3 linked regions of the Styela clava genome follow. The protein of the gene in region 1 purifies or fractionates together with the protein of each later gene. This does not show direct contact. Links are inferred from orthologs where the notes say so. Each region holds a gene or a part of one and is shown on either strand. Other genes may lie near its edges. The genes, in order: heat shock protein HSP 90-beta-like, serine/threonine-protein phosphatase 5-like and activator of 90 kDa heat shock protein ATPase homolog 1-like.

Region 1 (10,115 bases):
ATACACCTTAACTTTTGCTTTAGGATTCCGTGCCAGATGTAAAAACGCTACTTTAGACATTGTAAACCGCCAAAATTGAGCCATTATATATCATAATTACCGAAGTTAAAACAATTATTCGTGCCCACGATGTACAAGATATTTTAAATGCTCGCATTGATCGTGAATGTATTTTGCTTAACGTGAAAAATTATTATCCATCGAAAAAGCTGGCTCTTTCAACGAGTAGCGTCATCGTTATATATATATCATGTTCCAGAAGCTGCCGTATGGGTATTTTTGATTCCGATTTGTAATGATATGAAAATGTAGATATTTGACTTCATTTCCGCCTTAGTGACACGGAGCGATGTTTACAACTGTTACCTTTTATAATCTCGAGTCTAGTTTATTTTCCATCAAAGACGTAACAGTCAAGCTCCAATATAGTACACAAACATACGTTATTTTACAGTAAAACACGCACACCAGCACATAAATGTTTAACGGTTCCGATCGCCTGATCCGTTAATATGAAATATAATGAGTTTTAATAATGTATTCGCAACATAAATCTCGGTGGCTAAATGGTAATTTAGTTGCGCGATATTGCTAATAATCAGATTACGAGGTTTCGATCTAAATAAATTATAATTAGTATTTCTTAAAACACGTGAGAAACAAATACCAATAATAGAATGAAAACGTTATGTGTTTAGCTCTAATTAGCGCTTAACTCTCCATTAGACACAAATTCAGTTTAATGCTTTTTTTAATTTACAAATTTTGGGCATCAGGTCGCGCATACCTGAAATATCATTAATTAAGGAATACCTCTTTAGCGTGATATCTCCAGATAAAACTCAAGCATAAGTCTCCAAAAAGCCCTAACTAAGTTTTGGGTACAAAGAACAATTAGTTTTAAAATAGCCAATGCAAAATATATTTAAAAAAACGTCTTGGATACAAGAAGTTTATTTCGACTGCACGATAAGTATGGACGACGAAAAATGTTTCGATAAAACAAAATTTGTCTTTTCAAAAACACGGGATTTTGTGCACCGAACAAAACGTCGTGCAAGTATACCGAAACTTCACGGAATAAAGTGTTCTCATGAATAAAAATAAAACAGCAAAATTTAGGGTCAAATATCGGATGCATTAAGACTCCAAGTTAATTGCAAATATAATAAAAGTAATAAGATTTTACAATCCAAGAAATGGAAAGAGCAAGCGTTCAAATGCACTGACCAAGTGGTACGACGCTCAAGGTCCAACGGAGACAACGCGCATCACTGGTAAAGACAAGAGTTCAGGCCCCACCCGGATGCAATGTAATGTTAAACATGTTTCCAATCAACAATGATCAGAGCATAAACTTAGTATTGGAGTTGTCTGGTTGGTGCTAACTGCGAAAACTAGCCTACAACTAGACTACTAGTGTATCCAAGCCGAGATAACTTATAGATTCGGTTTGTTGCAACTTCGAGTATCCAGCTACATATTGAAATATTGATTATACTGGGTGTCCATAAGGACTTGAAATTGTTTAAAATTGCAAAGTGAGTTTATCGATACCAGATATTGTTTTGGCCCTCACAGATGTATTAAATGAAGTAAAAATATCTGAACAATTACCAATTGAAAAACAACAAACCTGATTAAGATATATTGAGAACTGACTAAAAACAAAACTGTAAAGGGCATAACCCTGTATTATTAATGAAGATAAAAAATTAAAAAAAACGTTGGTGCAATATCAAAGCCTCATACGTTATTGATGGAAATAAACGGGAGTCCACATAATATATATTGACTAAGTGTGCTTTTTCAGAGATTTTACGCAACGGTAAAAAATGTTTTTTTCGTGGCTGGGAAACATGTTCAATATTGCCATTCTATACTATTGCTAATCATAGCAGTTGCATCAATGTTATTGTGTTTCATGCAATGGTCGTTTCTGAAACCAAATTTGTTCCTGTTAATAATATTACGCTTATTTATAGGGACTGCCTCAAGCTGGCCCGTAGAAGTTTTTTTATGAAAAATGTTACGCTTATACAACACAGGTGTAACAAGGTACCGTGTTTACCCAAAAAAGAAGACCTAGCCTGAATTTTAAAAATGATTTTATTATAAGCCCTCCCCCATAAAATAAGACCTATATAGTCATGTTTTTTATATTTAAAAATCTCATAATTCTCTACTTTGTAATTTTGTTTTTAATAAATGAAAATAAAAGACACCCCTCCTCCCCCCCAAAAGAAGCTCAGTGTTATTTTTCAAAGAAAAATTGAAATAAGATCGTCTTATTTTTGAGGAAACGCGTATTTGGACCCAAATATAACGACACCACTTTTTTCAAGTGGCTCGAGTAAATGGTGTAAACGATTTCAAGACGGGGTTAATTGAAGGTACAAATAGTTTCCAAGTGTGGGGTATACTCACGTCTGGATTTTCAAACTCGTTTCGATCAAGGAATTATCCAGTCAAATTAAATTCTTTGATTAAACATACCTAACTCATGAAGAATCTCGATATCACTGGCGGTCTTAGTCCTTTTACAGAAACGAATCGCGACCGACTATAGAAAATAGGTTGTAGGGGAAGGTGGGCCACGTTGGGACATGGGGCATAGTGGAAAATCAGCTCTCATACTATATCCGGTCTGCGGTTCGATGTTTGAATCCGCCCTCCGGTGGGTTACAACGTCCCCGTAAACGGACAACGGCCGTGTAGAGCAACGCAAGCTATAAGGTTAAATTGGTTTTGGGGGGTTGAAACTAAAATTTCACCATTCCATTTTTTTCTTTTTTCTACCTCATCCGTTTCAACATGACAAACCACGGACTGATATTTTTTTTAGCTTTAGTCCACTGTAAAATGTTCATAACGTTGGCGAGTGGACGTGCTTTCCTAATATCGCCGTTGGAAAGTCTGACGTATTTGTTTTTCTTTATGGAGAACAATGGAACGGGGTTTAGCGGGACATGCCCCACTGGGCACAATTCGACAGTGTTTGAACCATTAAGTGCTTAGAGGCCTAGAGATGCGTTATGTTTCTTGCGTTATGGAATACATTAAAGAATCAAGTATATTATCGGATTCGAAAAAGGAAATAATTTAATTTGTTTACGGAATTTTTTCGAAAAATATATGAAATATTTTGGTTGAACATTGATTTCAAAAATAATAAATCTACAAAATTGAAGTTCTCCCATTTTTTCCCTGTCCGAATGTGCCCCACAAGTGGAGTACAGTGGGAAACTTGGCAAACATTTTTTAAAGCATTTTGGTGATAAGATGTATGTCTCAAATGTAAAAGAAAAATGTGTCTCAACCTTCCCCACTTTCCACTACACCCCTGTATTGGACGATAGAGACATATGAAGCTCATTCCAATTTTTATTGGTCGCAAATTTTCTTTGATGGGCCATGTCCTTTTTTGCAACTTTTCTTGTCAGAACTCTGGAAGGTGCAATAATATTTTGACTATCGATCACACAAAGTCATTAGATTAAAGTCATTAACGGAAAATTCATTGAGGATCCTGATAGATGGTAAATTATTACGAAAGCCATTTTAGGACCATTTTCTGTGTAATGTATTAAATATTTATATAAACGTTATATTGTTTTCAGAATAGGTTTTGTTGCAAATTCTCCTGAAGTTTTTATTAACTCCCCTATTTCTAATTTTATATACGATGTTCTTAAATTGCCATTGCTGTAACCATTTTTTCTTTGTTTGTTGTTTGCTTTCCTTGTAATTTGTATACATTTCTCACTTTCTTTTATTTATTTTATTATATATCTTAGCAAAATTTCGTTTGCAGTGAATTTTTTAATAATTTACGTATTAGAGTCAAAATCTGTTCACCGTCACTACTATTGCTACAATATTTTTAGCATATGCAGTTATTTTTACACGACTGCTTGAAGAAGACGTTTGTCGCACAACAGACGTTGATGGTATATTTATTTTTGTATCAATTTTTGTGCATTTTTTCATGTGACGTCTGACTGAATAAAAATCCATATTTGTTAGAGCCCACAGAAATTTTTGAAATAAATAAAAATGTTAGCCTTCGGTGACAACAACAATCTCTATTCACTGAACATTTCACAGCAATTAGTCCAGTAGCTCAGTTGAAGAGAAAGGGGTCGCGGCGGTTGAGATTTGGTGAGCAAGCTTAGTGCTATTGTCAAAAACCAACCAAGTCTGTCTAAGTTGGTATTTCGGGACCTAGCTAAAAAAAAAACTGGATTGCGCGGCGTTGAGTCGGCTCTGCGTTTCGTCACTACTGTCACGTGGCCGACGCTTGGAAACAGAGGAGGGTTTTACTAAAATAAAGGCACAAAGCGTTATCCCGGGATCCCAACCCCAGTTGGAATAGCTAAAAAAACTCAAAAACGTTCCTCCATTAGATACAAATATATGCTATTCCGCACGGAATGTATAAGCATAACAGGGTTTGGACCACCCTGGTCTACCTTATCAAAAAAAACTCCCGATTTCGCTGACCACTAGATTGTTGAAATGCGATCGTGGAACCGCCACAGAGTGTAAATAGTTCATTGGTCCAATTGTTGAAGAGAAAAAATTTTTTTTAAAACAAAAATGCAGCAACAAGGAGAATACTAAAATGAAAAAACAACAACAATTTAAATAAACGACTCAAAGGCCCATTTCGTGTAAAAAAAAGTTTCAGTGTGTATTTTTAATAATGTAGGTAATATGACACTTGAAGACGAAAAATAAGCGAACATTTTGAAGTTTAAGTCGTCTGGTGAACTAGTGCTATTTTAATAAACACCGATAAACTATATAAAATTCTGTTCTAAAATTTCTGTGGTGCCCCTCTTTGCTTTGTGCCCTAAGCACGTGCTTATATTGTTTAATGGTTAATCCGGCGCTGCTGAGATGAGCTGAAAAATGGTGCTGCAGAAGTATGTGTACCAATATGGAAGTATCTAATTTTGTACGCCTATTTTACATCAAGTTGTGTGAGACGACCACGTCCACAACTCTGTTCTATTCTTTATGCCCATATTTATTCTTACCACTTGAGTCATTAGAAACGAGTCATTAGTAAGCAATTGAGTATCTTTCCTTTTTTGCTGGTTTGTCAGAGTGCCGGCAGTGTGGAATTTCCTCTGTGTTTTAGGTTATTATTATAGTGTTTTATGACCGTGTATCTATGTAATTCTTGTTGTAGATTGTTAGTAGTACTACAGGTTAGCTGTTTCCCCAGTTTGGCATAGCTCTGAGTCTGTTCACTAGTTACCTTGTATTTAACATTTTCGTAACCAGTCTACGTTCGCAGTTTAGTTCCGGTGTGATATCCGTATTTCTATGTGTATTGCCAGGTATATTAAGTGTTTGTCGGTAAAATAGGATTGGTGTTGTATTTTTAGTGTCATACTAGTTATTCGTATGTATTTCTAGGTATGTTTTGCCTGGTTTTTGTATATTCCATTACAGGTCAATAATTCATGACTGTGACGTCATAGATTAATTCCTATTTTGTGTTCCGTGTATTTTTATTTGTTTATTGTATTTCTTATTGGAGTATTTGGTTGTATTAAGTTCTTTCAGGTGTATAATTAATCTAAATAGTTAAATTAGTTACTTTGCTGCAGTTGGAACCGCAAGAAGGTGATTTACAATCGTCATCTATAGCAATTACAGTGTCCAAGAAGCTGGCAGAAAGAACCTGAGTGGTGATATCAATTTTGGTACGCCACATGTGTAAAGGGACTGAAACCTATGGGCGGGGGGATATTCACTTGGCTAACACAGACAGTCCCTGAGCTCGTACTAAAACTAAAATATATAAGGAAAATCGAAATAAAATTATGGCCTAACCTGGTGGTCTATACACATACTACGGGAGTACCGGAAAAAGCAATAATTCTCGCGACAATCCCCAACTTTAATGTAACCAACATAAACAAAATATTCGTCTTGGCAATGCTTGCGTGCAAACGACCGTGGATGTGGCCTAAGGGCTCATTGCAACAAGATTAGGACGGGCGCATGTTGTTTGAATACTAAATATTCATCATATAATGCCATCCTAGTCACATACAATACCGTAAATACCACGCTATCGCACCCAGTGTAATTTTATTTTTGATGGAAATAGGAGTCCGATTAAGCAAGATATAAAATAAAATTGATCTTGATATTTACGTAAGCAAAAACATATACAAATAACATTAGGTACGTAAAGAAATTAATCACACGTACACAACATCTCATGCAAATAATAAGCTACACACAGAATAAAGAATAAAACTTTGATACAATCTGTCACAAATTTGAAATATCTTTGCACTTCGGATTAAAACCCAACCTCGGGACACCAAAGTTCAATTGCCATGAATGAAGTGCTATGAAAACTGTGTCTTCAACATCAGTTGGTTTGAAAATATAAATCTAGTCCCGCCTCAATATTTCTTTATGGCAGTACCAATTGAAATTATCTCCACACCAATTTATGCGCCGACCGTCCTGAGACTTTCAATATATATAGGCTTACCATACGCCCCGCTTCAGGTGGGACAGTCCCGCTTTTTAGCGTCTTGTCCCGCCTTCCCGACAAGTCAGTCAAAAGTCCCGCTTTGGCGTTCAGCCATCAAGCATAATTACACGAACATTTTCTCGTTACTGTTGTTGCTGTGTAGCGCAAAGATAGCCTACGTACTGAAGGTTAATACGTTATTTTGTTTGTTTCGTTGTTTCCCGCTAACATTGTTAGCGAACGTATCGCGTGTGAAATCAATTCTAATTGGTCCTGTTCGGACGTTCGAACGTGTTTTTGAAGGTGTTATCTACAGAAAAGCATGCTTGGGCGAATAAGTAAATCTCAATGCTTGAAAACGGCAGACTATTTCTTTATTCTTTTTGCTGTACATACAAAAATCTAAATTTGGATCTTTTGTATCGTTAGCGTCTATTCCTTTCTATTTTTTCGAACCCTACCAGATATTTAGACAGAGAATATGCGCATGAACTCTCGATGACAATGCGGTCAATGAAGACAGTCGGGATGGCTTCAAATGTAGGCCTATGTAGTGAAATCGGAAACTGTAAAGTTACAGGATCACAGCTAAAGGATCGTGTCTTTGGGGGCGTCCCGCTTTGAAGTCAAAAAAATATGGTAACCCTATATATATTTATATAGTTTTTCTACACGGTCTCTTCACAATATGGACCAATACGTCTGTCTGCATTGGAACAAATTGGTTTTGTCTGCGGAATTGTAGTCGGCTTGGTTGGCAAGTCAGAAGCAGCAACCTTATTTTGTTTCCACTGGAAAAAAACTTTCAATATTTGCCATCTGTCTTCAAATGTCATGGATATGCAAATGACATTGACAAAAGACATTATGTCTCCCATTGTCGCACGAATTGAAACAGGAAAGTGTTCTGGAATCAATCGTAAATTCATCACACCAATTATAACGTCCGTGATAACAGCAACGAATGCCCAGATAAGAACACGACGAATCGTTTTTTGTACTTCATTAGACTTCGAAGTTCCTGTGTCACAAAACAGTACGATCCATTTCGAGCCATGATATTTTGATTTGTATTCCATGGTGTTCTTGACAACCGCGTAAACAAGCAGGCCAAGAATGGCGATTTGGGCTACGATCAACGGAAGGCGCATGAAAATACGTAGGACTCCGTTATCGATGTTGTTAATATTTAGACAACCTTGTGGTACTGACCGCAAGCGATCAAATATAATCAACTTACTTATTATTATAATCAATTCTGATGGAAGTATCGCAAATATTCCCCAACTTAGGCGAGAGATATAATTTCCTGAAAAGATTCCTTTTTCATAAATTATTCTTTGTCTCACCCATGAAAAGAAATAAATGAGATATGTAATGATGGAGTAATACACTTTTGACACAGTATCGACTGCCTTACATAAAGACGAAGAGTTTGCACCCCGAGTTGCCTGGATTGAAACTTGCGTGGATACCATTTTTTGGATTAGGACGCCTAGAACTAAAGTATAAATAATGTACAACAGTTTTGCAGTGAAAAAACTTGTCGTTTGTTTGTTCTTCCATTTTCCATTATGAATACAGTAGACAACAAAACTTGCTAACATCCAACATGATAGTAAAAAGAGAATTGCTATCACTGCTTGTGATAACGTCAGTGTTATATTGACCACATAATCGTTCGAACCCTCACGGCTGAAGTTAAACGTCGGACTCGGTGCAACTGTTGAATTCATGTCCATAAACGTATGGTTAGTAGCCGATACATTGGAATTCCAACTGCCATTGTTCAGAATCTGATTTGTAGTAACCGTTCTGTTTCCAAAAATCATTTTCATTTTCCAAGTACACGGAGAAAAGATAAATGCCTGATTCAATCACAGGGTGGCAAACAAAATGTTCAATGGAAAACAAATCTTGTACAAGGCTGACAATGCCAGAGGATAAACGACAAGGTAATATATATTATAAAACACCTGCGTTAATTAATAATACATTCGCAACATCTTCTTTCCATCAGTAATTATTGAGCATAACGCCACAGGATAAAAACCTTAATTAAATAGAGTAATTTTGTTCTCAAATTTTCAAAAATCCTTTCATTCTATAATTGACGATTGTTCCTTACATATCATCTGGATTATTAATTATTTATTTAGACTGAAATCTCTTTGTCTGCAATATCATTGTAAAATTTTATCTTTTCTTAAGAGGAAAGCGAAGAAATCAAACACACAAATAATGGGAAACGTTCTCATGAAATACCTAATTTGTTAAGACGGTTTTATTACGGTATAACCGTTAAAATGGGGTTTTATTGTTTCCTCGGGCAGTGGATTTCAACTGGTGTTCCAGTTGAACCACATTCAGTCGTTACGTGTCAAATTGTTATATCACAATTTTTCTGATTGTCATATTTATGGTACTAAATCAGTGCTCTTCAACAGGGGTTCCGCGAAACCCTAGGGTTCCGCAACACATGCAGTGGGTTCCGTGAGTTTATAAGGTTTCTTAGGGGTTCCGCGTTTTTTTTTTTAAGGGGAAAGCATTTCCTGGTTCAGCATGTTGATGCGTCATTATAAATATTCTTAGACCACCGTGTCTCATTTAAACTACAAGTAGGCCAACTTGTTGAATAGGAGGTTTAGTCACAGTGCAGAAAAATATTTTCGGTTGTTGCGTCACTTTAGTCATTGTTATGCAACTAACAAAAAAAGAACGCCATTGTCGCACCATAGTTACATGTTGTTCAGCTTTTGTTGGAATATAGTAAAAATAGTGTGCAACCCGACTTTTTAATACCCTCAAAAACATGAGAAAGAATTTTTTTAGATTTCTCTCCACAAAGCGGATACAGCAATTGCCAAAAAAAGCATCAAAACTTCTGTGTCAATTTCCTAATACCTATTTGTGTGAATCAGCATTTTCTGCTTTAACAACTATTAAAAACAAAATAATTTGTGCAAAGAGTGTAGACATGAGTATATGAGAATTGCATTGAGCGCCGTGGAGCCACGATTCAAGAAGATTGCAAAGGAAATGCAAGAACAACCTAGTCATCGAATTTCACGCTTGTTACTCTCTTTCTGTTTCGTTGTTGAAATAGAAATATTTGAATTACAAATATTTCGTGTTACGAGTATTTCGTATTTTTTTTTTTTTCAATTGTGTTAATTGGGGTTCCATAAAAAACGAAAAATTATTTCAGGGGTTCCGCAATAACAAAAAGGTTGAAGAGCACTGTACTAAATAGAAATGATCTGGGAACGTATTGAATTAGATGATTTTGTTGTTTATTAATAAGAATAAATAGAAGACTTGGCCCCAACGAAGCATGCCCATATATTTCATCAGTGGCGGCGCGTCAATAGGGCCAACCGGGGCAATGCCCCGGTTGTTTTTTCGGTATAATAAAAAATATTCGAAAAATACCTCAATATCGGTTGCACAGACTGTCTACACTAGCCATATTCTCCCGACATGGTTCATTTTTCGCTCGCAAAGCCTTCGCCGAACGTTGACGGGGCGACGCCGATTTTGCCCCGGTTGCTCATTGTATATCGTATTCACTCTTTTATCTTCCACTCGCCGCGTTTGTCTCGTTTGTTTT
Region 2 (10,736 bases), on another chromosome or scaffold:
TTGGATGTTATATTTTATTAATAAAGACAACATATCAACCAAATCTTGCATGATATTCTTTACATGATGAGCAAACATTTCAAATTCAAAAGTTTTATTATCCAAGTAGGCGCTGACTTTGAATGAGTGATCGTCTTTCATTTACTGAAAATTAATGCCCAGCTGTCATTTGGGGAACACCTTCCCTAACATTAAAAACGAAAAATGTAACTTTCTTTTCAGATAACATGGCTTAAAATAATATTACTTATTTATTTGATAGTGGTACATTCTCTAATTACTGAAAATAGAAGTTTTTGAGGGTTCCCAGATACCGGGTCTTAGGGCCTTCCGGAAGGCCCTTTTCAAGAAAAATTTTGAAAGGGTCTCCCATCCATCATGTTGTTTATGTTAGTATTAATTTTTGAAGTTTTTTTTGGTATTAGGTATTTGTGTTCTGGGTTTTTAGAGAAAAAAATGTACCTAACTGAATATAGTTAAACAATAATCCCTCTTATAAAACTGATCGTTTAAAATTTTTGATGAAAAATTTATAATTTACAAAAAAAATTGTATTTGCGCTTTTTTCTGTTAGCAACTTTAGTTTTTCAGTGCAACAACATGATACAAGAAATTCATAAACATGAAAAAATTAGATCACAAAGGTTTTTTTATCTGAGAAATGAGGATTTTAAAAAATTGATTTTTTTCAAATTTTTCAAAAAATTGAAATTTTTATTAAAAGTAAATAGGTCAGTGATAAAAAACGAAAATGTTTTATAGAAATTGTAACCCATGATTGTGTTCATGAGTAACTGGCAATCAATTAATACCATAAGCTAAAGAAAATTCAAAATCAAACTACACGAAATCAGGTTTCAAAACTATTTGATTAAAAGGGCCTTCCGGAAGGCCAAAAGACCTTCCGGAAGGCCTTTTGTCGAATTATCAAAATACGCCGCAGTCGTCCTATGATTACCATAGAATGCTACCCAAACCTCTCCAAAGAGATAGAGGAGAACATCAGTGCTTCAGTATATTCAATATCTAAACTGCAGGGTGGCAAGGAATGAATTATAGTGGGAAACTATAGTTGAGGTGGTATATAAAAAAACAGACCATTTGGAACATATTCTATAGAGAACATAACTTTTGTGCAAAGCTTCCTAGGTTACAATCATACATAAACAGAAGTTTGAATTTTAAATAAATTTTCGGTGCTCCCGAAGTATGCGAACCAAGATGGCGGACATCGGAACGTAACATGGGTAACAGGTTAGGGTTAGGCGATAATTTTTTTCTAATTTTAGTCCTATTATCAGTTCGAAGACTAGCCAAGAGCCTCCCGTAGTATTCATACCTAAAATTATGGCCTAACCCTAACCTAGTATAATGTTACATTCCGATGTCCGCCATCTTGGTTCGCATACTTCGGGAGCCCCAAATTTTCTTTATTTTCACAGAAGTAATTAGAATTTCAGGTCGGTCGGGTTTCAAAGAGGCTGATGCTACTAGTCTAGAGCTTGATACAGAGATGAGAATTCCTACCTTTTACTTAATCTCATGTCTTTCCCTGATTTATAATATTGGATCAATTCCGACATGAATTCCTTCGTCATGCCTTCGTCAGCGATTCGAGGACCTTTGTAACTGTCGTCAATTGCTGAAATAAATCAAATGAGAAATGAGGAAACAAAAGTACAAAATAAGAATTTTGATATGAGGTAATCTTTAAATATAAAAATAATTATAATTTAGAATAAATAAACTAGAAGAAATAGGTCTCTTGCATACGACTGACAGCACAAGAAGTGGATCATTGCCAGCAAAGTAACCTCTGCTAAAGGCTATTGTAGTATTTTGCCTCTGTCTGCAACTGCAAGTTCCTATGCTTTCGCAAAGTAACTGATTACATCTCTGATCACCCACGTTCAAAGATTTGCATCCCGTGCGGTGATAACTATATGTGAGAAGATTGCCGGGCAATCCACCAATGTGAATCTACAGATCGGTTACAGCTGCCTCCACCATCAAGTCCATGCAAAAAAATAATATTCTATTCCCATACCAGTTTGGGGTCGTAAAAACATACTGAATAGTTTAGGCCTATTTTTTTGTGACGAGGTTATCAATTTTCGCAGATATTGTTAGTCGCTTGTTCAAACCTTGTTTGAAGCAAAGACAAAAAAGTACCAAAACTTACTCATAGCTTCAAGATGAATTGTTTCTGAAACAATCTTCTTAACTTCATCACAAGCGATCGCTTTCTCAAACGCTTGTCTTTTAACAATTTTACTACATTCAGTGTATTTAACTTTCGCATCTGCATCATTAGGCTTTGATTTTACGACCTGAAAAGTTAGAAAATATATTTTAAGGGAGATTTAAAGATTCTTTACTCTTGTTACAAGTGCTTCTTTGCTTATTCATAGTAAGACATTGCAATACATGAAAAAATTGAATTATGAAAGTTTTGCGAGAATTGGCATGTTTTAACTTTTAACTGGAGTTAGGAGTGCTCATCAGAATCATATTTTTAAACTCCTCAGAGTGGGGGGTTGGAAACAAAATTTGAATTCCCTGAAGTCTTCGGAGTTAAAATTTCAAATTTTTTGTGGTGATAATCAAAGTCAGAAATTATCTACAGAAAATATACAGAATCAAAGCTTGTCAAGTGTTCTTAGCAGTCTATTAAATAAGGCCAAAGTTCGGAAACTTTGATCAAAAGATCCAATTAGACCAGCTAATGAAATCTGACCGTTTCATAATCTTTCATTGCTGCCTTGAATTTTCCCATTGCCATGTTAGCTGATGCTCGCCTGTAATATCCCTGTGAAAAGGTGTAATTACAGTTATTTGTCAAGCTGTATTATTGCATGGGAATATATATCTCTTACAGCAGGAAGGGAGGCGACCCTTGGGCCACAAACCGACACGCCAAGCCATTTAGTGTGGCCCTCAGATTTTTCTTCATTAAATAAAATCTGGCCAGATTCCAAATCCGAAATTTTATGTTTAAAAAGACACTCAAATGGGTAAAAATGTTTTTGCACTTGTCGCAGCTAGATGTCTTAAGTTGGTTATATGACCCACCGATAAAAAAATTGCAAACCCCTGTCCTGCATTTTAGAGCATTTCCAGTAATTCCTGTTTTACCGCAATTTAGGGTTGCCAAGATCACAATATCAACTGGGCAAACTATGCAATATCTCAAGAGTGAGACAACAAATTTCTGTAGTGTAAACTCACTTTAAGATATCTTCGATCAAGAGCAATAGCTTTACTCGCATCCTCGAGTGCGTAGCCATAATTTTCAAGTTTTAAATTCGCAAAACTTCTGTTTCCAAAATACGCAGCTACAGAGGGATTGAGTTCGATAGCTTCCGAGTAAAGGAGAATCGCTTGTTCGTAGTTCTTTTCTGAAGGAGTAAATTTCGAAGGTCATTAGTTAAAGTAAGCTTTATTATATTGATAAAAAAGAAAAATCATAAAAACTACTATGCAGAAAGAACATAGCCACAAATACAGACTTTTCAGATCACAGACTTTCGGACCAGGAGGTGGTTTGTTTGAGGTAAGATTCGAGATTGGAATCTAAGGTCTAGCGAAGTAAACGCTGTAATTGTTTGAATAACAGCGATCAAAAATGTGATGTCAAATTGTAATGTATCTGTACGACGCAGTAAGGATTCTTGAAACAGGTATTTAGTTTAAATCCAATTCAATCAATTCTGCAATTTTCAACTAAGCAGGGATGTCTCATGCCAACTAGCAGAATAGAATATCTGAATATTGTGTTCGAGCAATCGATTTTTTATTTTGAAGAAATGATAAACTTGGGTTGTTTTTTGTCTTTTCACATCATGTTTTCTTGTTTGCCATTATTCAAGCAGTTACGACGTTTACTTTATGAGACCCTATGTCTGTATGTGTAAACAGAAAATAATTGCAGAAATTGTATCAATTTTACTACAGTATCAATGTATCATGCAAAACACCGGCAAAATACTTCAGTCAGTCAGTGCTCTAGACCAGAGCTACTCAACTATTTTTACCGGTCTTTCCAAAAATTATATTTCGGCATCTTTAAATACACACTTCCTCGGTCGACTAATGATTATTAGCTAATCAAGATTGTTTATTATGGCGTTACAGTTCCTCCCCATATATATTTAAATCTATAAAAGTGATTTTATAAAAGGAAACTTCAAAAGTGGGGCTAATGATCCAAAATAAAGAGGCGGTCCGAATAATAAATTAGAGGCGGTCCGAATTGAATACCCGAAAGGTCCGGATTCGGACCGCGGTCCGCCAGTTGAGTAGCCCTGCTCTAGACTACTTGTTTTAATAAATAAAATGATATTATTACTGTTATTTATATATTCGGATACAGACTAATTCGGTTTGTAAAAGCACAAATTTAGCTTGTCTATTCCTACAATATTTTCAAAGTTTAAATAAATTTAAGTTAGTTATACTAAACTTCAAAAATATTTTATCAGTGCCCTATTTTTTAATGATTAAAATAATAATATTTCTGTTATTCAGGCGTTAAGATACACCAATTTGGACCTGTAAAAACATAAATTTAGCTTGTCAGTTTGTCCATTCCTAGCAATTTTTTCCAAGTTCACAGTAAGCAATTTACGAAAGAGTAGAGATATTTACCTTTGAAAAATACATTTGCTTGTTCTTTAACCTTGTCGGCCTTTTCCACATTCGGATCCACCGAATCCACACTAGATTCTGTTACTTCCGACATAATATAATTCATTCAAGCAATCCTCAAAATTCCAAACCGCCAAAGTCTTTGTAATGACACCACGTGAGCATTTTGTGGCGTCGAAACAATGCCATAGATTATTTTACGAAAGCCGACTGCAGCCTTTTGCAAAAAAAAAATTAAAAATTGAACTTATTGTATTCACCTGAATTTGAAGAATAAAAAATTGTTTTAATATCATTTATTTTAGGCAAATTTTTATTCAAGATAACAAAGTTACTACGGTAAATTTGAGGAAATAGGAATTTTCAAATGCCACGCAAAAACTCATCTGTGGTACCCAGGGATTTTCTTCCTTTCATTCCCCAGATACAATAATAATAACAAGATTCGTCGAAAGCCACTATTTCATCTATGTAGTGTTTGTTCATCATCAGTTTCATAAGAATTCAATTTAATCAATAGCAAACCCCCATGCCCGACATGGAATGGTATCCGGACGAGAGGCCGTGGCTTGCCTCTTCCCGGGATTAATATGTAAATCGGAATCCTAAACATGCCAGTTCAAGTGCCTGCAACAATCATCTGCCGTGACAGACAGTCAAAAAACATCAGTTACGGATATCGGGATAAGTATGAAAATCTTATCCATCTAATGAACATCCGATTTTCGTTCTTCTATTGTGCACCTATTTCCCCACATCACAACTGAACCAGTAACATAATCAGGGAACATTGACCTAAACTGGCATATGGCAAACTCTCATCCAGTTACCAGTCCATGTCGGGAATGGGATTAGTTAGCCAAATTTGGTTTTCGAAAGCATGGACTTGATTGTGGAGGAAGCCGTAATCAACCGGCAGTCAAATGAACCACCCTACGGTAAGAGGGGTCCAGCACTCCTCTCGCACATAATTAACTCTGCATGGGATTCGAACCCACTCACGGTAATCAGAGATGCGGTCGCGAGCGTATTCCTAACACCTAGCAAGATGAGCCACATCACCAAGCCAAGTAAAAGCATAAAAGGAAATGGACAGCACCCATAAAATGTGTTGTATTATATTATTGTCTCAAACATACAGAAACGGCAAATGTTCTTCATAAAAAATTTCATGCGGCAAATGAGGCATGCAGTGGATATAAAATGAAACGATATACAGGGTGTCCATAAAGTCCCTTTACAATTTCAATTTGTTATGAAGTCAATTATATCTAAACCAGGTTTGTTATTTTTTAATCATAATCACTAATTGTTAAGTATTTTTAATTCATTTGATAACACTTGTGAGGGCCAAATTAATATATAGTATCGATAAATTTCCTTTATATGTTTAAAAAAAATTTAAGACTTTATGGACACACCCTATAAATATGCTGACAGTGCCTTCCTTATTAGGCAAAACGAATAGAATTACAGAAATCGGTATAAAAAGTACTATAACAATGTCAAAGGCTTTCACCCAGAAGGGATGAAATGGAATATCTGTTTCAATTTTTTCATCCTGTAGCCTTTCATTGGAATAGTTTGGTGAATATTTCTTCAAACTAGGATTAGAAAAGCACCAATTTCATTATAGTAATACTGCTGTTATTTTTTACTGCATTGATGATTTTTGAATTTGAATTATCTATAACGTTGTTCAGCTAAGGAAAAACTAAAATTATTGTTATTATTTTAATTGTTTAATTTGTTATTGTTAATTATTGTTTTTTCAAGTATTTACTAAAAGCATGATCAAAGTGCGCACTTGAAAGATGTCAAGAAAGACTTGTCCCTGAGCCAAGCTACAGGCAAACCAATTGAAGATTCAAATTTCAAGGTCAGGCTAGTGGTGCCCAACCTACTGGGGTCGTTGCGTCCTACCAGAGGCGTTCAGCGCTCCGGGCCTCTGTTTATCTTTCCGGTAGTATTTATAGTGTTAATTTGATTGGTGGATTTCAAAAATTGTTTCAGATGTATGAACTTGCTAACATGCATTGATTATGACAAGATGATTGGTATTGGTAAAGAAGTTTGAAGTTTAAAGATCAAAATACCTCATAATGCTTCAATAATTGCTTTATATAATAATAAGTTCAAAGGCTACACTTCCTCATGATGTTCCAATAATTGCTTTCCGTAATAAGTTCAAAGGTCAGGGGCTAAACTTCCTAATGATGCTCCAAGAATTATTTCCCATATTAAGTTCAAAGGTCAGGGGTTAAAGTTCCTCATGATGCTTCAATAACTGTCTCCCATAATCTGTGGCATCAGAATCTACCCAGTCCACATAATTATTCAAAATTTCTTCGACTGATAATTTATCGTCGTGATCTGAGTCTGATTCTTCCATTAAATGTTCGGCTTCCTCACGTGCTAGTATGGAGTTGTCTGGCGCCATCCAGAGGACGATCTCCTCACCTGTTAGTAGAAACAGTGAAAAAATTGAAAGTTGCAAAAAATAATGATTAGTCTGCTTCCAATTAATTGCCAATAATAACCTTGTTTTGTCTGATTAAGTTAGAATAAGAACTAACAAAAGCTTACAGATATACTTCTATATACTGCTATTTCGTAAAAAAAGCTTCTGTTTTTTATTTCATTGTTTTTTAAGTAAATATGCCCAGCGATGCGATATATAGCGACAAATTGACAATGAAATTACAATAATTCGTCAATATTACAATACTTCATTTGTTCAGTGCAGGGGTGCACATTTTCATTGACGAGACATTATAACGAAATTTTGACATCTAGCTGGGCCATCCAAAAATGTGAAATGCGACTATTGCTTAACCTCACAGTAATAAACCCACTGGGCAAAAAAATTCAATGCAGCGAGAAGAATAAAAAATTCATTATTCATTTTTACCCTATGAGCTGAGTATTAAACAAGGGCCACACTAAAAGGCTTGGCCTGTTGCACACCCCTTGTTTAGTGCTTTATTTAAAGCAAATATAAAACACTTTAAAAAACAGTCATCAGTTCACTAGGGGTCTTACCCTTCAAAAGTCCATCCTTGTTGGTGTCGAATTCATGTTGAAACTTTTCCTTTTCAAAAACTGCCCATTCTGGGTCGCCTTCATCTGCTTTCTTCCTGTGAAAGGTTGAAAAATATTGAAATTGTGAATCTAATATTACCACATATGGTAGAGCAACTATTATTATGATATGAGAATAAAAAAATTTGTTGGGTGCTCGTTTGTTACCGGGCTCTGAAGTTGATATTTTGTGATAATTTTACCAAAAACTCATCACGAACAAAATCTTATAAATTAAGAATACGAGAAAATTTGTCTCTCTGAGAAAAGTTTGATATGAACGCTGAAAATAACTAGCAATAAGCTACAAATAACAGATAGTAAGACAAAAATACGTGGATATATAATTTTTTATGTATTTTTTATTTTTAATCAGCTCCATGACACCACTGCTCTACAGGCTTGAATTAAAAACTTACTGATAATCTCCGAGGAATTCTTCTAGGTCTATTGCACCATCTCTGTTCGAATCTGATGAATCTAGTACTTCTTCGATCACGATATCCCGGGTTTTTTCATGAAGTCTTGGATGTTTGAAATATTGAAACTCTTGTAAATCTAATCCTCCACTTTGGTCAAGATCAGCCACTTCAAATCTGAAAAGAAATAAGAGAGCGGTGCTTAAATAGGCTATATGGACACAAAGTCCGAAACAAAGTACTTTTCGTTCTGGTATAAATTAATCTCAAAGTTTCGTGCAGTGTCGCGTCAAATCGGAAACAAACACCACGTTTGGAGAATTAAGAACTGTGTTCCAATGAAAAAAAAAACGAACTGAAACTGTCAAGAAATTTTAGATAAGAAACTCTGGCTTGGCATAAGATTTAGCAATCTTATCAGCCTTCAGTCCATGCATAACTATTCCCATACTCGACATGGACTGGTAACCGAACGAGAGGCTGTGGTTTGCCATATGATTAAGACGTCTTATGGGCTTTGCTCTTCCCCGGGATAAATATGTAAATCCTATCTTGTCCTTTCCCAAAATATACACATAAAAATTCCATTCTAGATATTTCAAATAAAACCCACTTTCTTCTTTCCTTTTTATACGTTGCAACAAAGTCTGACCATTCATCGGATGGAGGATTGATAAAATCCGGCGAATCTTCGTTGAAATCATCTCCGTAGGAGTCGAGAGCATATTCTGACCACTGGATGGCATTGTCATTGTTTGTATCAATACCAGAGAAGGAGTTTCTTGTGTCTTCTGTTTCGAATAAATCGTAGGATCGAACCGCCCACGCTACTAGTTCATCTATTGAAACATATCTAAGAAAATGAATTAGAATTTTGAAAAGTGTTAGAATCAAGCTTGCCAACAGGGGATTCAATTTCAAAAATGTTTTGTGAACGAATTGCTGATCACAGCAAGAGCATGGCCACGGAAGAGGGGCAATTTTTTCTTATAATGACGTAATACGATGCACACTCGTGCCTTTTGCTCCGAACGAAGTAAGATAAAAGGAGTCACTGATATCCAACAATATCTTGAAGAACAGCTCTACAGACGTACCTCGCCGTCGAAGCATATCAGCGCGGATTTTCATCTATCTCGTTTGGGTTATTTCGTGAAAGAATTAATATTAGCAAGCAAGGAAATGTCCGGTTTTCAGTAAATCGATCAAAAATAGAGCAAAATGGTGTTGAAAAAGGAGTATGAATTCATGTTTTACTGCAAATGTCGCAAAATGGCATTTAAATTGTTGAAAACTTGAGGGAGGGATGGACATGTTCCCTCAGACCCCCCTGGCTACGCCTATGAATCACAGGTACCAGTAAAAAAAGTCAAGGCCCAGTACTAGCCACCACCAACAAATATGGAGCCAGTATATAATGTTTTTACACGTCTGCAAAACTTTTTTACAAATTCTTTATAGTCCTTAGTTTAGCTAATTCATAAGATATACCTATCCAACACAGAAAAATTGAAAATAACACAATAAAAAGAATTTAACATCAACTTCATTCTGCTCATGCCACTTTTATTTTTCCTGTTTGGGATGACTTTTAAATGAATAACGGAATGGAACTGCAAAACCCTGCTTTTTACAAATGCTATAAATTTTATGTTCATTTACCCATCTTTATCCGTATCAATCCTGTTTTCCACCAATTTTCTCAATTTTTCTTTTTGTTCGAGGGGGGACATATTTTCAACTGCGTCATCGTCGTCAATATCATTTTTTTCATCCCCCCATATGACATCACGGTCAAAATCTACGTTATGTTCTCCGTCCTGGAATTGAACGAAAAACTGAGAATAAAAGCCTTGTCCAGTCAATGTCCACCCATACCAGTATGGCACAGTTCCCCGATTCCAAGAATAGCCCCCACATTAAAAGACATTAATTATAACAGTGCCGACCCCTCCTTTATGAGACATTCTGGGCCTACATATTGGCATTTGAGTCGAATTCTATAAAACTGTTCATAAACATTCAACTCTAATTCCAGAGTTAAGAATGACAAAATATAAATTAACGTTATAATACTCTATTGAAAAAAGCAGAATAATTTAATGTAATATGTTTGATGAAGATGCTGCCAAGTTATGGTTCAGTACTCAAAAAAAAATTAAAATTTCTAAATTTGTACATCTATACCCCTTACCTTAATGTGACTTTCCTTTACTTTGTTGACAAATTCGTCATGATTGTCTTCACGTTTGGTTACGGTCGCTTGAATTGTAATAAGAGATACAAACAGTATGACTAAATGAAGACCTGCCATAGGTCTAATACCGGTAACTGAAAGGAGAATAGTAACAAGTTAATGGAAGAAGTTACCGTAGTATACCGGTCTCCCGGTAGGCTTATAGAAGAACAAGGATAGGATTTACATATTTATCCCGGGAGAGAGGAAAGCCGATAGGACGGCTTATCCCTATGGCGATCCACGGCCTCTCGTCCGGTTACCATTCCAAGTCGGGTATGGGATTAGTTTTTACTGTATTGTTTGTTTTCGGAAGCATGGACTTGGTGGTGGAGGAAGCCGTAACCGACCAG
Region 3 (10,801 bases), on another chromosome or scaffold:
TCGAGAATGTAAGAAGGGTTTCAAGCAGGATTCCTCAAGAACTGAACTCGAGTTGGAATAAATTTGTTGTAGGTTTTATTCAAAAAAACTCTAATCCGACATTAATTGACTTTGAGCAATGGTTGTGGGAAAGAACTGAAGAAATCGCCAATCCTTTTTCTCCAGATGTTACTTGCAATGTGATCAATAGAACTGATTTAACTGACCACGAGATGCCCAGAAGCGCTCGTCGCCGATTTCCGACTCCATTTTCAACGTTATCAAACTTGGAATCCGATTATACGTCATATAGTGACGCATCACGTTGTCAATTCTGCAATGCTCGCCATTCTTTGAGAAGTTGTGAGACGTTTTTCGGTGCGACCGATTATGTAAAACGTAACTTTGTTGTTGATTACAGACTTTGCTTTAAATGTCTTGAACCGGGCCATCGTGCATTTATGTGTAGATGTGATGTCGAGTGTAGTATATGCAATGGGAAACATCACAAATGTATTCATGGAATTCGCATGTTTGAAAGCGTCCCAAGACCAATAAACCGACAGGGTATAAACAATGCGGTGTCGGTAACAACTAGAGTTCAATTTCAGTTGCTGCCTGTTCTGGTTAGAGGAGCTAATGGACGCTCCGAGTATACAGTTGCTTTGCTTGATTCGGCAAGTCAGGTCTCTCTCATTCATCCCAAACTTAAAACTAAATTGGATTTGCGTGGACGTCGTAAAAGGCTCATGTTAACCACCCTCGGAGGAACTGGGGTCTTGCATGACTCGGAAGCGGTCGAACTTTTTGTGCGTGACAAATTAAATCCCGACGGCGAAGAACTACATCTAAAGTCAGTTTTCGTATGTGGCACCAGAATTCCCCACCCTGAAAGAAGTCATAAAGATTTTGAAACCTTCCATCATTTACGTGGATTATCACTTCCTGACATTAGAGAAAACGAAGTTATGTTGCTCATAGGTGCGGACCATCCATTTGCCCACTTTCAACTTGAAAGACGTGTAGGGGGAGACAATGAACCGATTGCAATAAGAACACCACTCGGATGGACTTTGCTAGGCGCAAACAAACGCGCCTGTGAAGACGATTTAATTCATGCTAGTTGTCATTTATTACACGATGATTACAATATCTTGCAACACCAAGTTAAGCAATTTTCGAGTACGGAAGCGATGGTAATGAGCTACAACACGAAGCGCGCCGAATCTATGGAAGATCGCGTGGCTGCGAATGTGAATAGAGCTAAAACGTCTATTGTTGAGGGGCATTATAAAGTCGGCTTTCTGTGGCGTCGCGATACTTCCATTATGTCGGAGAACAGTCTTATTGTCCGTACGAGATGTAGGAATCCGAAAAAACGACTGTTGGAAAATGACGGTCTGAGAGATGTGTACTGCACCTCTATGAGCAAAAACATCAAACATGATTGGGTGCGAGAGCTGACTGTTAAAGAACGTGATACTTTGGGTCCTCGAACTTGGTATCTTCCTCATCATGGAGTTGAGAATCCAAATAAACCTGGCAAGATACGAATAGTTTTTGACGCCGCGGATACATATTGTGGAATCGGTTTGAATAATCAGATATATTCGGGACCTGATCTCATTAAGAATCTGATTGGAGTTTTATTGCGCTTCAGAACAAGATTAATTGCATTGAATGCTGATATTGTAGCCATGTATCACATGGTGCGTCTACCACAGTCGGACACGGATTCAGTCAGATTTTTCTTGCAAGGAAATCTGAGATCCACAACACCGCCTGATGTGTATCAATTTCTAGTGAGAATATTTGGTGTGGTCGACTCGCTATACGTTGCAAAAACCGCGCTTGATAACACCGGGCAATTTTCAATGGAAGCAGTAGAAACGGTTTTTAGGGATTGCTACGTAGACGATTTGCTTTCATCAGAATGTAATGGTGACTCCGCTTTTTCCGACGCTCAAGAAAATTCTAATATATTAGCAAGCAGGAGTTTTCGATTGAAAAAATGGCTTTCAAATTTCAAAACATTATTGTCGAAATTTAACACAGGGGATTGTCGTAATCCTGACGTTGAATCAAATTTTGATTATGTGCCCAGTTATAAGGCGCTGGGACTTCATTGGAACACTAATGACGACAATTTCTACATTGTTTACAAAGATAACCTCAGGAAGAATGCTCGGGAAGAGTGGACCGAATCATTAAAACAATTGACTAATTTCCATGTGCCTAGACAATATTTAGGCGCCTCGAACACCGCTATTTATGAGATTTGCGATGCGTCTGAACAAGCTTACGTCGCAGTGGCTCACTTGCGTGCCAAGAAATGTCAGTGTGTGAATTATAGTTTGTCGATGGCCAAATCAATTGTTTCTCCGATGAAATTTATGTCCGTTTCCAAATTAGAGCTGCAAAGTGCTTTATTAGCCGCGCCCGATATTATAAACAGTCGTCCTTTTCTATTAGCGACAACGTACGTGATCCAGCTCCCCTCACGCCTAAATACACCTTTGGATCAACAGCGCATCAGAGAAGATGGAGACAAACCGAAGCAATTTCGAATCGCTTTTGGAAGCGCTGGCGACGAACGTATGTACCAATGCTGATGACTCGAACAAAGTGGAAAAAAGAGGAATTTATTGATGATGATATCGTAATTGCTGTAGATGACGACGTGCCAAGAAGACGTTGGTTACTAGGAAGAGTTACTTTTAACCGTGTGTGTGTAACTACCGTCAAAACAGCAGGTGTGGAAATAACCAGACTGGTGACGAAACTATGCCTCCTGGAAAATGAATAACCCCTTGGAGGGTTATTGGGGGCGGCTGTGTCGGCGATAGAAGTTTCTTTTCAGTTGATAATATTTTGAACGCTGTTCTTCTTTGTGTTCGACCTGCTAATTTTTATCGATAATTGCTTTTCTGTTTTGACGCGAGTTTCGCGGGCTTTACTGCATCTGACGTGTCACGCGTGGCTCTTGCATCTCGACTTTACGCGTCGTAGGACGTTCTTGTTTAATCTTGTTATGATGTTAGTGGTGTGGTTTCGCATTATCCGCTTTATTGACTTAGCGTGTGGGTGGCTTTTGGTCTCGTTAGGTAGACCTGTGGTGAAGGTATCGTAACCGGGGCCCCATATGACCATCGTCGTCATTTATTGCTGTAATTGTTCATGTATTTTATATTTCATTCTTATTAACTGCTTTCTAAATTTAGTTGCTATTTTTATGCCAATAACGTTATCGTTCACGTTTCCTGTCAGTTTCTTGTCGATTTAGGCCTTTGGAGCGTTATCATATGTAAGTTTATTTTCTATTAACTTCTGGTTATGCACTTTCTTTCCGCCCTCATCTTGTGATTATTGTCATCTTGTGTTTATTGATTATTTCATTTTATTTACAGTCAACCGTTTTACAATAAACGCGTATGACATGGAACATCTGTGTGCCTAAATCTGACACCATCTGATCGGAAAACAATTTTCGTATTCGTATTTCGTACAATTTTGGCCCGTATTTTATGCTAGACTCTCTATTGTATGTTTCTTTTGTCCAGTTCAAACAGTGATTAACAAACTCAAGCCTAAACAAAAGATTTTTACATTTTCCTTTTAAAATTATTGTTCTTGTGTCGTTGTCCCATCTAACGTTGGTTTCTGGCAAGTTTATATCCCGAACGAATCTTTACGTGTTTTGTGAGATTCATTGTAAAAACTTAAAAACATACCATTCTAGCGACCCATACCCGAGCCTCATCCTCTCACACCGGAACATGGACGTGCCATAAACTAACTCTCTATATTACACATATCGTCGTTGTGTCGTATCTCCTTGTCTAGTGTATTTTACTAGAGTTTTATTTGTATAGCCTACTTTATGTCTGTTGTCCTATTATAACGCAGCAGTCCTAAACTGCTGTTATATTTGTTAGTAGGGGTGCATATCGCACATCTGTGTCTTAGGCCAGTAAGGTCTTGAACATGTATTCCCGTCTCTGTTTTACTGTTTAAATATTATGCAGATACTGTTATATTTTTGAGGCAGATAAACATACATAGCCTACCTGACATGGACAGGTATCCGAACGAGAAGCTGTTGCCATGTAGTGACGCCGTTTTGAGTGAGCGAACACGTACTACTTCTTTTATCAATACCTTTCCATCTAAAATCTGTACGTTTCAAACCTTACTCTAGGTTTTGTTCGCTTTCCCGATTCTATAATCAGTTACTTTTACTTTTGTTTTTATCTATTTTTTTATCGTCTATTGCTGATTATGGAGTCGAAATAAACTTATACTTATACTTATACTTTTGTCGACTTACCTCTCGAGATAAATATGGGAATTCTACATTTAAGAAACATGAACAAGGATCCACGATAATAAGAAGTTTCACTGATTAAGCGCCAACATGGGGAGTCATAAACAAGAAGACAGATGATTTGCGAATGTGCAAATATCGTCGGATGTTTTGGCGCAAAAAATTCCTCAAAGTTTTGTCGGCATCGCACATGCGCGAAAACTTGCGGTTTTACTGTTTTACACTTCCTGCCGATCGCTGCACAAGGGGCGCCGTTCCAGAAATTTCTCCTCATTCACATTTCACAGCTGGTCTTATATTGTGAACGTGAATTTACGATGCAAACATAAATGTACTTTCATTGTGTTTTATTTTAGTTGAAACAGCATAAAACTTGTTACAAGCTATAGCATTATATATATTTAACAAATTTTGATAAATGTGTATGATTTGTTAGATTTATATCAAAATTGACGATTGACCAACATTTTGTTATTTTGCAAATATTCATTTTGCATCGTAATTTCCCCATGGCGAAGACGAGCATGCTCATTTCGAACTGATCCGGGAGTTCTCGATGTTTCGTAAGTCGCGTTTCACAGCAGAATCGGTACCGGTACGTCGTTGTTTTGTTAAATTGTGAACGTTTTTTGGTGTTAAACGTGATACGGTATACCGGTAACGCTGTCACGCTATTTATTGTTCAGTCGAGAGCGGATAGTTTTATTAACGTAGCAGAATTGTAACACGTAGGTATGGCAGCCGCAGCGAAGCTAGGGGAAAACGCTGAATCCAGGTTCAGAAGTTATTGAGTTCTGACTCCCTGAAGTTATTACGGTACGATGGCACAGAACGCTTTAACAAGGAAAGAAGAATAGTTAAGATATCCTAACCTTGAAAAAACTTTACCGAAATAAGAATAACATAGACAGACTGACAGAAGGTTTAGGTAAAAAAAAATAAGAATAAATAATGAAATGAGACTTTTTGAACTGGAAAGACTCCAAGTGGTCAAAGCGGATTACAGATGTTTCGCTTCTCTCAGCCTCGGACCTTCTCGTTTACTGCGTGGCATATGCAGATATGGCTGTATGATGATTTCAGTTATGAGAATTGTTCAATAAAACCTGAAAACGAACACTTTATTTGTCTCTGAAACAAGGATGTCTGGCATGGTCGTCAGATCGTGCCATGCTTGTCTTGATAATAATCTGAATCAATCATGCATTGACCATCAGATGACCAAAATTTTTTCCTAAAACTCTCGAATGCTATTAGACTAGTAATGGCAGAATGAGAAACCCTTCTACGAGTTAACAAGTTTTCATTTTTTAACCCCTCGTGGGTCATCCTTTTTTATGGACTAACAGCCACAACAACAACAACAATAACTATAATAGTTTTAACATCTATTCATGAATATTTTTTTCCAGATAAATTACACACTGTAAATAAAAACTTCGTAAACCGAGTTGTAAATCTTAAAATCAACAAGGATCTTTTACTCTGCTTTGTGAATTCCTATCACGTCGGTTTTCATTGATTATTTCCAGCAACTCTGATTGAGATCAAGCTTTGAAAATTATTGAAGGACTTTTGCATTGCAGTCAATTGATCAACTTTATTTTTATTCCTAATTCATATTTCTCCCGCAAGTAAATATGGCAAAGTGGGGGGAAGGCGATCCACGTTGGATAGTTGAAGAGAGAGCTGATGCTCATAACGTTAATAACTGGCATTGGAGAGAAAGTGACGCCACCCAGTGGTCAAAGAATAAGTTTAAAGGTGAGTCATAAATATATGGCAATAAATATAACTTATTTGGACGCTATGTGTACATGTGATTTGTTTTGCTAAATACTTGTTGTTGCAGTAGAATTACCAGAAACTATTTTTTAAATGAGGGTATTCCAAACCAATGGTTGCGACCTTTTTCAGCAAATTTCTTCCTTCGCCTGTGTTGAAACTTGCCATCACACCCTCACTATGTGCAAAAACATCTGTTTTCATAAATTTTTCATTCTCTCGAGGCATTCAGCTAGTTTTAAACGTAACTCGCACTCTGGTTTTTAGTACGTTCAAACGTGCATGTTTATATGGATTACAATAATACTGAATAATATTAGTGAAGCTGCACTGAATATAGGTCATGTTTCGAAATTTTCCTCTATAAAGCAGAGAGCCCCAGTTAGGAACAGGAATCACGCCCCAGTTAGGAATTTTTTTTTAAATTATTCCCAATATCAAGAATATATCGAAGTGACCAATTATGAATAATATTCTGATATTCAAATTTCTTTGGACAACTCTATCTTGGTATTTCTACAGTTAAAAATTTATAATTTAATTTTTTCTTGAATAATTCAGAACTTCTTGACGGCATGTTGATCGGTGATGAGAGTGTGGGATCCTGTACCTTATCAAATATAGTCTGTGAAGGAGAGGCTTCCGTTAGCAACAGAAAAAACAAAATCATTTGTTTCTATGAGTGGAAAATCACAGCTAAATGGAAAGGAGGCGTGAAGGTGGGCGTGTACTTGATTTGAATATTTTTTATCAGAAGTTGCCGATGGATGTCTTCTGAAATTCAGCTAACATTCCTCCTCTATCAAAGATTGATTGGCAAATATCTGCTATTTTGGGAACGAGCGTCATTACATTCTGGGTGGCCAGTTTAGTTCAAATTTTCAGTACTTCAATGGAAGGGAATGTAAGAAGGCTATTACTTTTATGTTTTCAACTTTCCTTTTACCCCCAAAGGACTCGATACTCCACCCAGATTTTTTCTGTGTGATTTAAATTGATGGAAACACTTCTGTATGACATTTGGCCTTGTGCGATTATGTGTGAGAATTTTTTATACAATGCTTCTGCATGTCTTTCGCTCTCAGTAACTGAACTTCTTGATCTTTTCAATTAGATATTAGATCCATGGATGTCACTGCTCGATATCCAGCTTTGGTTCCTCACGGCTTCCCTTCCCCACTTGAAATGTGTGATTATCTTTTCTCTTCGTATTTTGTGTAAAACTTACCTTTTTCACTGGTTGGAAAATATAAACTTGTCTTGACTTGAACAAAGTTCTGTGTGAGCAGTCACTATATGTAACAATATGTAAAAAGCTGCCATCATTTGAGGATTGCCCTCTTCTTTCTCCTCTTATGGGAAGTGGGAACACTTTTATATGACATTCAGTCACGGTTTATTCTTGTTTTCATAGAATGATGCCACAGTCTACAAAGGCGAACTTATCATAGAAAACATGTCGGAAGAATACGAACCTGATGAAGTTGATGTGGAAATCAAGATTAATAAAGAGAATAAAGAGAACACGGTGAGTGGGAGTGGGATTATTTAGTAAAGTGAGCACGAGGAGTGGGAGTGAATACGAGAGTATTTAATAAAGAGAGAAGATCATGGGGAGTGGGAGAGGCATTTACAGTAGAGAGGACACTGAGTTGGGGTGGCTTTCAAATTCAGTAGTTCGCAACCTTTTTTCTTTCGTGGCCCATTTTTGTTGCCCGAAAATTCTTGTGGGCCTTGTTCTCCTAAAACTTCTAACATTAAGAAAAAACTACAGGAAAAATCAAGATATTCCTGTAAAAATGGACACTTAATTAAACGTTTATAATTAGAATGGAAATCATCTCTCAGTAGCAGAAAACAGCATCATCATTGATTGCTGCTACAATCAAAATTACCTATTGTGATATAATTGAAACTAGCAATATTTAATAGTACTGTGGCCCTTTGTTCAGAGATGAGTCTTATCTGCTTGTCTGTGTTTAAGTCTGAATCAGGGCTCTTCAAATGGGGGTGCCTAATTGGTCATTATAGATCTCAACATGAGTCACAGTAAGTTTCAGGAACATTATTAAAATACCTTATTTACAAGAAAACATTTTAAACAGATCCTGACTTAATGAAGCGAAATGTTACACGCTTGAGTGTGCTGTGAAATTTTATTTATTGAAACAAAGGAGTACGGCTATCCCAGCCAGAACAAAACCAAATGTAGACTAGCCATTATGCGTGACGGAACTAATATTATAGTTCATCGGTACTGAGGGAAGTTAAATCCAATTGACCGGGTTTGATATAAAGGGCAAATGGGCAATATGTGTTCTGTTATTGAAATATGAAACGTAGGCGAGTTAGTATTTATTGGCTGCAGTTTTGGATGCATACGAATTTTCTGTATTATTTAATCTGACTTTATTTTAGTTTTTTGGTGGGGCAAAACAAATTGGCCGTACCAAGTAGGTTGCAATGAAAAAGTTTAAAGACCAATGGTCTAAATTACCCCAATTAGTGAAATATGACTAATTTCTCATTCTTTTAATCTCAGACAATCACAGCACTGATGAAAACATTCGGAGTCGTACTGGTTCGTGAAAAACTTCAAGCCTATCTTGATCAACTACGGACGAACTACGGCACACAACTAATTCTTCCCCCCAAAGATGCAAAAGTTGATTCGAAAACTGCGGTTTCAACGATGAAAAATAGTACGAATTTAATTAAAAAGGAAATGAATAATCTTGCAATGAACGACAAGAAAACGGATAAAACAAATGTGAGAAATTTTAGCTTGATTTCAATAGTTGCTCTTAATTTCCTCAAAGAAGTCTTTTTTACTTCTGAGTGAGTGCCTATAACTTTGCTCAGTTGAGTCTATTTTACTTCTGAGTAATTGCCCGTAACTTTTCTCAGAGATGAGTCTATTTTACTTCTGAGTGAGTGCCCATAACTTCACTTAGAGATTAGTCTCTTTTACTTCTGAGTGAGGGCCCGTAACTTTACTCAGAGATTAGTCTCATTTACTTCTGAGTGAGTGCCCGTAACTTTTCTCAGAGATGAGTCTATTTTACTTCTGAGTGAGTGCCCATAACTTCACTCAGAGATTAGTCTATTTTACTTCTGAGTGAGTGCCCGTAACTTTTCTCAGAGATGAGTCTATTTTACTTCTGAGTGAGTGCCCGTAACTTTTCTCAGAGATGAGTCTATTTTACTTCTGAGTGAGTGCCCCTAACTTTACTCAGAGATTAGTCTCCTTTACTTCTGAGTGAGTGCCCGTAACTTTTCTCAGAGATGAGTCTATTTTACTTCTGAGTGAGTGCCCCTAACTTTACTCAGAGATTAGTCTCTTTTACTTCTGAGTGAGTGCCCATAACTTCACTCAGACATTAGTCTCTTTTACTTCTGAGTGAGTGCCCGTAACTTTTCTCAGAGATGAGTCTATTTTACTTCTGAGTGAGTGCCCATAACTTCACTCAGAGATTAGTCTCTTTTACTTCTGAGTGAGTGCCCGTAACTTTTCTCAGAGATGAGTCTATTTTACTTCTGAGTGAGTGCCCCTAACTTTACTCAGAGATAAGTCTCTTTTACTTCTGAGTGAGTGCCCCTAACTTTACTCAGAGATTAGTCTCTTTTACTTCTGAGTGAGTACTCCTAATTTTGTTCAGAGATGAGTCTATTTTACTTCTGAGTGAGGGCCCGTAACTTTACTCAGAGATTAGTCTCTTTTACTTCTGAGTGAGTGCCTCTAACTTTACTCAGAGATTAGTCTCTTTTACTTCTGAGTGAGTGCCCATAACTTCACTTAGAGATTAGTCTCTTTTTCTTCTGAGTGAGTACTCCTAATTATGTTCAGAGTTGAGTCTATTTTACTTCTGAGTTAGCCTCTCCTTTATTAAAAAACACTATTTTTCTCTCCAGGCCGGTATCAAAATCACAACAAAGAAACTTACGATGTCCGAGACTTTCATGACAACGGTGGACGAACTCTATCTGACCCTGACACTGAAAGATCGCATCTCGGCCTGGTCTAGAAGTGAAGTGAAGTCTGACGTGGACGTTGGGACAGTCCTCACTTTGTTTGATAAGAATGTGGAAGGTAGGATTCTGTGAATAAATAAAGCATGACCAGTGTTAACAAATAATGTAATTCGCGTAGTTTTGAATTTCTATTCAGAAGAACTTCGTCAGGGCGTAATAAAGACAAAGTAAGAGAAAAATCATCGAGACATAATAATAGATCTAAGTGAATTAGCGCAAGTTTAAACAAACATGGGGATATCTAAACTGCGTTTTATACACAGGCGAGAACAGGGATGTTTCTTTATCAATCATCGAATTCGAAAATCACAAATTGACAAATTATATCGTTTCGCTATGGTTATGCTTTTATCTATTTTTCACTTGAATGTATCCGGTAGCGATCATGCGCTATGCTGGTTTGGTTCTCTCTGAATGAGGCTTGAACAAGCATTATACTAGTAAATTTTTCATTCTTCAAAAACAAGCAAACAAGCTTTTCGATCAATCTCTTGGTATAAGGCTTTGGACAAGTAGGTATGGGCAAGATAGAGTAGTGGTTGTCAAACTATGTGCTTTGTTTGATGAAAATGTGGAAGGTAGAGTCATATTTCTCTCTGAAGTAGGTTTGGAACTGCTAGCACAAGTTGCCGGTCAAATGATAAGAATCATTGTCGGCTTTTCTCTTGTCAGACTAAATGA

The links.
Region 2: the proteins of heat shock protein HSP 90-beta-like (region 1) and serine/threonine-protein phosphatase 5-like fractionate together in Caenorhabditis elegans (co-fractionation; 3 studies listed by BioGRID). This does not show direct contact. The link is inferred for Styela clava from reciprocal best matches to the Caenorhabditis elegans genes hsp-90 and pph-5.
Region 3: the proteins of heat shock protein HSP 90-beta-like (region 1) and activator of 90 kDa heat shock protein ATPase homolog 1-like fractionate together in Caenorhabditis elegans (co-fractionation; 3 studies listed by BioGRID, with this or other methods). This does not show direct contact. The link is inferred for Styela clava from reciprocal best matches to the Caenorhabditis elegans genes hsp-90 and ahsa-1.

The regions. Positions count from the first base shown.
Region 1 is NC_135251.1:21,554,569-21,564,683, reverse strand, and holds the start of heat shock protein HSP 90-beta-like, read left to right. Parts: upstream 1-5,544; 5' UTR 5,545-5,568; intron 5,569-10,115. UniProt on the Caenorhabditis elegans protein: Molecular chaperone that promotes the maturation, structural maintenance and proper regulation of specific target proteins involved for instance in cell cycle control and signal transduction. Undergoes a functional cycle that is linked to its ATPase activity.
Region 2 is NC_135264.1:16,672,546-16,683,281, reverse strand, and holds the start of serine/threonine-protein phosphatase 5-like, read right to left. Parts: upstream 4,875-10,736; 5' UTR 4,754-4,874; coding exon 4,648-4,753; intron 3,399-4,647; coding exon 3,229-3,398; intron 2,810-3,228; coding exon 2,738-2,809; intron 2,331-2,737; coding exon 2,183-2,330; intron 1,643-2,182; coding exon 1,528-1,642; intron 1-1,527. Other genes in the region: reticulocalbin-2-like, read right to left, coding at 6,908-7,107, 7,690-7,784, 8,148-8,324, 8,761-9,000, 9,810-9,967, 10,342-10,478.
Region 3 is NC_135250.1:394,234-405,034, reverse strand, and holds the start of activator of 90 kDa heat shock protein ATPase homolog 1-like, read left to right. Parts: upstream 1-5,698; 5' UTR 5,699-5,943; coding exon 5,944-6,067; intron 6,068-6,649; coding exon 6,650-6,807; intron 6,808-7,502; coding exon 7,503-7,616; intron 7,617-8,630; coding exon 8,631-8,858; intron 8,859-10,000; coding exon 10,001-10,178; intron 10,179-10,801.